2 linked regions of the Mus musculus genome follow. Each later gene encodes a partner of the first gene's protein in a complex. Links are inferred from orthologs where the notes say so. Each region holds a gene or a part of one and is shown in the gene's direction. Other genes may lie near its edges.

The links.
Region 2: the proteins of E2f1 (region 1) and Ccnf are in contact, whole or in part, in a cryo-EM structure (PDB 9CB3), measured with the Homo sapiens proteins. The link is inferred for Mus musculus from reciprocal best matches to the Homo sapiens genes E2F1 and CCNF. Residues at the interface, in NP_005216.1 of Homo sapiens: Gly84, Arg85, Pro87, Val88, Lys89, Arg90, Arg91, Leu92, Asp93, Leu94, Glu95, Thr96; in NP_001752.2 of Homo sapiens: Met309, Ile312, Leu313, Asp315, Trp316, Glu319, Val320, Met323, Arg349, Leu352, Gln353, Trp379, Leu380, Thr381, Asp382, Thr384, Asp504, Tyr505, Val508, Leu510, Thr511.

What each region holds. Positions count from the first base shown.
Region 1 is NC_000068.7:154,566,985-154,571,344, reverse strand, and holds the start of E2f1 (transcription factor E2F1), read left to right. Parts: upstream 1-1,452; 5' UTR 1,453-1,610; coding exon 1,611-1,856; intron 1,857-1,918; exon of another isoform or gene 1,919-2,167; coding exon of another isoform or gene 2,168-2,278; intron 2,279-4,360. UniProt on the Homo sapiens protein: Transcription activator that binds DNA cooperatively with DP proteins through the E2 recognition site, 5'-TTTC[CG]CGC-3' found in the promoter region of a number of genes whose products are involved in cell cycle regulation or in DNA replication.
Region 2 is NC_000083.6:24,230,772-24,234,412, reverse strand, and holds part of Ccnf (cyclin-F), read left to right. Parts: coding exon 1-43; intron 44-2,504; coding exon 2,505-2,628; intron 2,629-2,921; coding exon 2,922-3,102; intron 3,103-3,641. UniProt on the Homo sapiens protein: Substrate recognition component of a SCF (SKP1-CUL1-F-box protein) E3 ubiquitin-protein ligase complex which mediates the ubiquitination and subsequent proteasomal degradation of target proteins.

The sequences.
Region 1 (4,360 bases):
TCTAAACACAAACTAAAAACCCACCCCTCCCAATCAAAACAAACCAAAAAAAAAACAAGAAGGGGAGAGGGCGGCCTGGCTGGGGATTGATTCTAAATTGGCCAAACCGGGGTGGTTCAAAGTTAACCCGTGCCTTGGTGTTTCTGGGCCCTGGAACATCACAGCCCCCTTATTGCGTCCTTGCTCACCTCTGCCCTCAGCCTCCAATTCTCTCATACCCAGAAAGGGCCTGAGAAGCAGCCCCTGCTAAGCCAGCTCAGAGTAATGTGGTCAGAGTTGGGGCCAAGATTAAGTAGCATGAAGCATGGAGAAAGTAACCCGGCTTGAGAGCTCCCTGTAGCTTACACTGGACCTGGGGACTTGAATATTGTCAGCTACTTACTCTCTTCTTGTGGTCATCTCCCCCACCCCCAAGGACAGGAAGTTTGTGGGTCTTGTTAAACCTTTCATGTTTCTATTCCCAGTATTGGCAAGATGCCTAGTAGAGAGGACCACAATGCTGATCAGACGGGCTGACCCCAGCAATCAGAAATGCTGATGGAGGACCTCTGGATTAAAGGCACCACCATACGCACCCTCCTCGCCCCTGCACCTCCCTATGAGAGGAGATACTTTAATGGACCAATCTCTTCACATTGCAAACATCTGCTGCTTCTGTGTTTCCTTTTTTTCCTTTTCACTAAGTCATGAGTCAAGGTCTGGACTGAGGATGGGACAGTGAACGCTCTCAGGCGTTTTTTTTTTTTTGAGATCAGGGTCTCACTGTGTAGTTCTGGATGACCTGAACTGGGAAGATCCGCCTGCCTCTGCCTCCCAAGTGCTGGGATTAAAGGCAGGCGCCATTGTGGAGTGACCAAATGAATGAACGCTAACTGGGCTCTGGCTACGAAAGAAATTTCAGTAAAAAGACACTGAGATCAAAGCCACACATCCCTTACTCATTTCCTGGCTCCCCTCTTGGGCTTGGCTTCTGGGTGACAGGATAGGGAAGAAAGCATGATGTGAACTAATGGAATAAATGGATCTTAAGACCGGAGATGTGGCTGAAGCGAGCTTTGGAGGTGAGCCTGAAGAGGCAGTCTCTGGGCTGTAAACTGAGGGGGTGGAGACCACAGGTTGAGAGTTTAGGGGGTCATGTGGAGACTGCGGGACGTGCAGAACCGAGTACGAAGTTTGTTCGCTTCGCCAGACCCGCCACCCATCGAGTGGGCGGTGAAGGGGCGGGGCCCATTGCCCACGCCTCCTGCAGGGCACGGCGAGAGGCAGAGGGGAGAAGGCGCCCGGCACCGCCCGGACAAAGCCTGCGCGCGCCCCGCCCCGGGATTGGCCACCCCGCCCCTGGTCCCACCCTCCGTCTCCTGCCCCGCACGCCGCAACCAATGCTCGCCATCGGAGCCTCCGTCGTCACAGCCGCCCCGGCCAATGGAGGAGGCGTTCGGCGGCGCGTGGCTCTTTCGCGGCAAAAAGGATTTGGCGCGTAAAAGTGGCCCGGACTTTGCAGGCAGCGGCGGCCGGGGCGGAGCGGGATCGAGCCCTCGCCGCGGCCTGCCAGTCATGGGCCCGCGCCGCCGCCGCCGCCTGCCTCCCGGGCCACGCGGGCCGTGAGCGCCATGGCCGTAGCCCCCGCGGGCGGCCAGCACGCGCCAGCGCTGGAGGCCCTGCTCGGGGCGGGCGCGTTGCGGCTGCTCGACTCCTCGCAGATCGTCATCATCTCCACCGCGCCCGATGTCGGCGCCCCGCAGCTCCCCGCCGCGCCGCCCACTGGCCCTCGCGATTCTGACGTGCTGCTCTTCGCCACGCCGCAGGCGCCCCGACCCGCGCCTAGTGCACCGCGCCCGGCTCTCGGCCGCCCGCCGGTACGGACCCTAGGCGCGGGCGGGGGAGGGGACGGGCTGCTGCGCTGGGCGGCGCGGAGCCTGGGCTGGGCCTCGGGGCTCCGCCCCGGGGCGCGCATTGACTGACTGCCTTGCCTGTCTGTTTGCTGAGCCTCGCTCCGGGCCTCGGCGTCTTCACCGGAGCGTCGGAACCATTAATGATTGTGTCTCACGTGTATCCAGCTGGTGCTTGCTTAGTGCACGCTCAGGCTTTGGCACCAAATTCCCAATTCTGGTGTGAGCTGGGTGTTGTCACGTGCCCATCTGCCAGAGGGAGGAACTGAGGCCCAGAGATGGGGAAGTGCTTCACGCAGCTGCAGATGGTGGGGCTGATATTTGAACTGATGTCTGCTGGCTTGCTGCAGAACCTATGGCTAGGGAGTGCGCACAGTTGCTTGTTGGAGGTGAGAGAGGGTGACTGTTAGAGACATCTTCGGGAGATCCTCCTTAGTAGCTCTGCCAGGTGCAGGCCTGGCCTTCCAGGCCTCTGGGGATAGGCCTCTTGATTGGGAGGCCTTCTCTGCAGGGGCGGGGTGCTGGGCCAGCTGCTGCAACCCTTCCTTTGCCTGTTCTTCCATCTGCCACCCTTCCAGCTCCTGGTTGCCATGGAACTTTATTAATCAGGCGGACAGACCTCTGAGCCTCTGGAAGACTGGGTGGGCTGGGCCCCTGAGAAGGGGCCTCCAGTTCCTGGAGAGAGAAGACGTGGGAGGGAGATCCCTGGATAAAAGTCTCTTCCTGATTCTAAGCAAGTAGCTCAAGACCACTTTAGGCAGGGGGCCTAGAAAAGGCAGCTGGGTACGAGGAGAGTGGAACTTGGATCTAAGCAGGGGCCAGCTCCGTGAGTGGGCCACTATCTTCATTGTAGGGGTGGAGTGGACAGGAGGGGCGAGGGCAAGGCCCAGTATCAGAGAAGAAGCTGTTCAACTCCTGATGGGGGTGTGGGTGGCAGCTGGTCCCTGAGGCATCTTAGAGTAGGCCCCTTACTCCCCTTGGCACAGCGCCCAGTGCTGCCTTCCTTCCGGAATCACCAAGATGCTAATAATAATAACAATAGCAACCACCATTGTTTTGAGGATGTTTTGTGTGCCAGGCTCTGTGCTAAGCACTTTACTCACTTAACCTTGTGGGCAGCCGTACACTTTGTCATCCTTTCATAGATGAGGCTGAGGCCCACAACTGATAGAACTTCTTAAGCATTCAGTGACTGAGCGGGATTTCCTGGCTGTTAAAGGCCTTTCCTCCCAGCGAGGACGGCCAGTATTTGGTGGGTCAGCCGGCTTGCCTTGCATTAACTCCAGGGGCCTGTACCTGTAGGGAGGAGCTTGGGCCCTGGGCAGGTATTCTACATGTAACCAAACATTCCATTCGCTCTAGTTGAGTTAGTGAGTCCCTTTGTGCCCTAGGTGCAGAGGTAGTTAGGGAACCCCTGCCCCCATAGTACTTAAGGACCAGCAAACATTTTCTGTGGGAGAGGTTGACACCATCCCGGAGCCAAAGGCCAGGAATGCAAATCTGGATTTTGGCCTCTACCAACTTTGCTCTGGAATTTTGGGGGGGCAGTCCTTGAAATAAGCTACAGGCTTGGCTTGCACCCAGTGAATACTTGCTGGGTCCTTCCTGTGCACCTCTGTACACCTCTTTGCAGTTCAGACATTCCTCCTTGACCTACCTCTCTACCTTGTCATGTATGTGTAGATCCTGGGGGGGGGGGGGGAGGGGAATAGCACAGACAGGAGAACTGACACAGGTTCAAGGCCAGCCAGGGCTACATAGTGAAACCTAACCTTAAAGTAAGTTGGGCTGGATAGATGGTTCAGCCATTGAAAGCAATTGCTTCTCTGTTATGACAACTTGAGTTTGGATCACAGCCCCAACACTGAGGTCACATGGCTAACTTCAGTCTCCAGGGATTTGATAGTCTTCTCCTGTCTTTGGGTACCCATGTTCACATACATTCATACAGACACAAATTTCATTTTAAAAAGAAAATAATTTTAAAAAGTAAACTAGTTAAAAATAAATTAAGCCGGGCGTGGTGGCACACGCCTTTAATCCCAGCACTTGGGAGGCAGAGGCAGATTTCTGAGTTCGAGACCAGCCTGGTCTACAAAGTGAGTTCCAGGACAGCCAGGGCTACAGAGAAACCCTGTCTTGAAAAACAAAACAAAACAAACAAACAAAAATAAATAAAATATCAACAGCCTATTTTGGTTAATTGACTTCTTGAGTTCAAAGCCAGCCCGAATTACAAAGACCCTCTTTCAAAACAGTAACAGCAAGAAACTGAGGTTCCCCATTATAGTTCTTGTTTACTGTAGAAAGTATGTGGTACCATACATTAAGTCTGTAAGAGCCAGGCTTAGAGTAGAAAGCCAGCTCTTCTGCAGGGCCCTTGTTTTAGGTGTGACACTGTTGTTTTATTACACGAATCCCTGGCTGGTCGCTGTGAGTGCTTAATGCTGTTGGGGATTGAACCCAGAATT
Region 2 (3,641 bases), on another chromosome or scaffold:
AGCTGCAGCTCCTGGGTATTGCCTGCATGGTCATCTGTACCCGGTGAGGAGCCTTGACCAACGGGCAGGGCTGAGGTGCTCATGTGCTGGTCCCCCCAGATGCAGAGGCCACCGTCCTCTGAGTCCTAGCTGCTGATTTTTAAGGGAAATAACTCTTAAGTGCCTTACCTGGCTCAACTGTGTTAATAATTTCAATCCCAGTATCCTTTGCGAGGAAGGGATGGCAGAGTTGACCCTTTGTATGTCGATTATACCTCTTTGGGGGGTCTGTATCCCCCACACAGTCTTGGGACCCAGAGCCTGGACTTGGGAAGGCCTAAGCTAGACCACACTTTCCCATGATCCAAAGGATGCCAGTTGCTAAGAAGAGTTGGTTGTAGCTGTTGGCTTGTGCCTTCCTCCTCAGTCATCAGAGATAAACTGTCACTGAGATGGAATCCTCCAGTCTACCACCAAAGCCCCCAACCATCAGAGCCTGCCACAGGATGTCACATGTCACACAGCAGCCTGTTCCCTGGCAGCTCTAGCTTTTCAAATAGGTTCAGTTTACATTTTTTTTTTCTCAAGCTGTGCTTAGATTTGCCTCTGGAAGCGATGTGGAAGGCGCTTTTCAAAATGTAGTTTGCATTTTCTTACTCTTCTAAACTTGATGGCCCCAGCTTGGTCTGCTGTTTCCTAGGACACACATTTCACATCCCTGCTAACTCCTTCCTAGGCTCGCTTGTGTACTAGGGTTCCTATCTCTGTGAAAAAGCCCCATGATCAAAAGCAGCTTGGTGAGGAAAGTCAGGGCAGGAGCTTGAGCAGGGAGGGAGCCTGGAGGTAAGAACTCAGATCAGAGTCCATGGAGGGGTGCCACATAGTGGCTTGCTCGTGTCTTGCTGGGCCTTCTTTCTTATAGTGCCCAGAGCCATCAGCCCAGGGACCGCACCACCCACAGTGAGCTGAGCCCTCCCATAGCAATCTAGTAAGATTTCTTCCCATGTGACTCTTGGATCAACCTGACTCATATAGGAACCTGTGGGCAGAACATCCGGCCCACTGGGATGAAGGTCATGAAGGAGACCCGCTCACATTTGCTCCCCTCTGAGCTCCATGAGTGGTTCTTTTTCCTGTCACCGCCAAAGCTCCCAAGCCCACCTTCCTTACCAGGTTAGCCATGTGGGCATATATATCCAGCCACAGTAGACACTATAGCACCTTCCAGTATCCATGTCCCAGCTAGAGGAAGCATGGTCATGTGACCACAGGAGGAAGACTGTGGATTTCAGGGGGGAACATCTGACCTTACCGCATCCCGGGTCTTCTTCAGATAGGCTCTGTGACCCGAATCTCACATCCCAGGTCTTCTCAGCAGTCAGCAAGCTGGTGAGGCTGCTGCCTCCGCTGACCCTTCTGCCAAGGCTGAGCAGCAGTCCACATTCGCTGGGGAGGGTGCTTGTGGGACCACTGGAACAGAGTGTTTCTGATTGTTAGTACTGTGGACAGCAGAGAACAGGCTGCCCCTGCCTCAGAAACAGTCAGGATTCCTGTGGCCAAACGCTGGGAGGGCTGTGTGTAGCCCACCTACACCGGGAGGGCTGTGTGTAGCCCTCCTACACCGGGAGGGCTGTGTGTAGCCCTCCTACACCGGGAGGGCTGTGTGTAGCCCTCCTACACCGGGAGGGCTGTGTGTAGCCCTCCTACACCGGGAGGGCTGTGTGTAGCCCTCCTACACCGGGAGGGCTGTGTGTAGCCCTCCACCGTGCTCCAGCAGCTCACCTATCTTTATGTTTGCATTCTTTGTACTCAGATGCAGTCAAGGGGATAGGACAGGAGCTGAAGCGGTTGTTTAGAAGCTTGGCGAGTCTGCACCTGGCTTTGAACCACAGCACAGCCAAACAAACCTTAAAAAAAAAAAGCCCTCATCTATAAAGTCATAAAGAGCTAAATTAGTGTCGCTCATGGGTCGGGTCTTTTTTGTTTTTTGGATGAAAATCAGGACATGACAGCTCCTCGGTGGTTATAAAGGAGAGAACAGCTAGAGTAGACTGTGCCATGAGAGAAGAAGGAAAAGGAGACGCAGAGAGGAAGAGGGGAGCTGGACGGAGGGGTGCCGGGCCAAGAGAACAGATACCAACATGGCTGGGTTATGTAGGGGTCAGAGCTGCTGGAAGGGAAGGCCAGCCCCTGGACTGTAAAAGGTTCAGGGTAGGGTTGGGGCAGGAGTGCTGGGAGGAGCTATAGGTATTCAGTGAGACTTGTCCCAGGCTTCTTCGGGACCCGACACTTGTACATTCTTGTCTGTGCTCTGTAGCCATGCCTCTCCTGCTGGGTCTGAGGATCCTGTTCTGACCCCCTCTTTGTAGCCCCTGGATGCTCTTTGATAGTCAGAAGCAAGTGGATTCGCTCCATAGCTTCCTTTTGCCACCTGAGTCTGGAGCCATCCCATCATGCTTTTGCCTTGAGGCTTTCTGAGCTATGGCCCCTCAGCTCAGGCCTGAGAGCCCATCTCTACGTTCCAGGTTCATCAGCAAAGAGATTCTGACGATTAGAGAGGCTGTGTGGCTCACAGACAACACGTATAAATACGAGGACTTGGTGCGCGTGATGGGGGAGATCATTTCCGCCCTGGAAGGGAAGATTCGGGTAAGTAGGGCTTGACTTTCTCCTTTGAGCAAAAGTTTCTTCTGTTTGAGGTCACGGGGGGGGGGGGGGGGGCGGGCGGGGGGCGGGGTGGCTGTTGCGGGAAGCTGAGGCCATTGAGCGCTACTGCTGTGGAGAAAGCACCAGGAAGCCATGGCTGCGGTGTGTCATTAGCTGCCCTGAAACCCTGAGCTTGGTTGGGCCCCAGCATGAGCACCTAGGCCAAAACCCTGCTGGGCTGTGCCTCAGTGTAACACTGATGGATGAGACGTGGCATTTTCCTCCCTCTTGTCTAGATCCCTACCGTGGTTGACTATAAAGAGGTCCTGCTGACACTGGTCCCCGTCGCACCCAGAACCCAGCACCTGTGCAGCTTCCTCTGTGAGCTCACCCTGCTGCACACCAGCCTGTCCATCTATGCCCCAGCCCGCCTGGCCTCTGCGGCCCTTCTCCTGGCCAGACTCATGCATGGGCAGAGTAAGGAGAGGCCTTCTTGGGGGCTGTGGAGGGTGACCTGGTATCTTGGGGAAGTCTTGGATGAGAGAGGTTGGAAGGGAGGAAATGAACACTCCCTCCTTCATCCTGGAGAAGAAAGAGCAGCAGTATGGATCTGAAATGGGGGTTGGAGCCAGGCAGTGGTGGCGCACACCTTTAATCCCAGCACTTGGGAGTCAAGGGCAGGTGAATTTCTGAGTTCAAGACCAGCCTGGTCTATGAGTGAGTTCCAGGACAGCCAGGGCTACACAGAGAAAGTCTGTCTGGAAAAAAGAAAAAGAAAGAAATGAGGCATGGGGGGTTTTCTGGGTGATGGTTCTAGCTGAAGCAGTACATAGTTTTTCAAGTGTGTATACTGTGTATGGAGTCTTTTTTTAAAAAAAATTATTTATTTATTCTATGATTATGAGTACATTGTTGCTGTCTTCAGGTCTTCAGGCACATCAGAGGAGGGCATTGGATCCCATAACAGATGGTTGTGGTTGCAGGGAATTGAACTCAGTACCCCTGGAAGAGCAGTC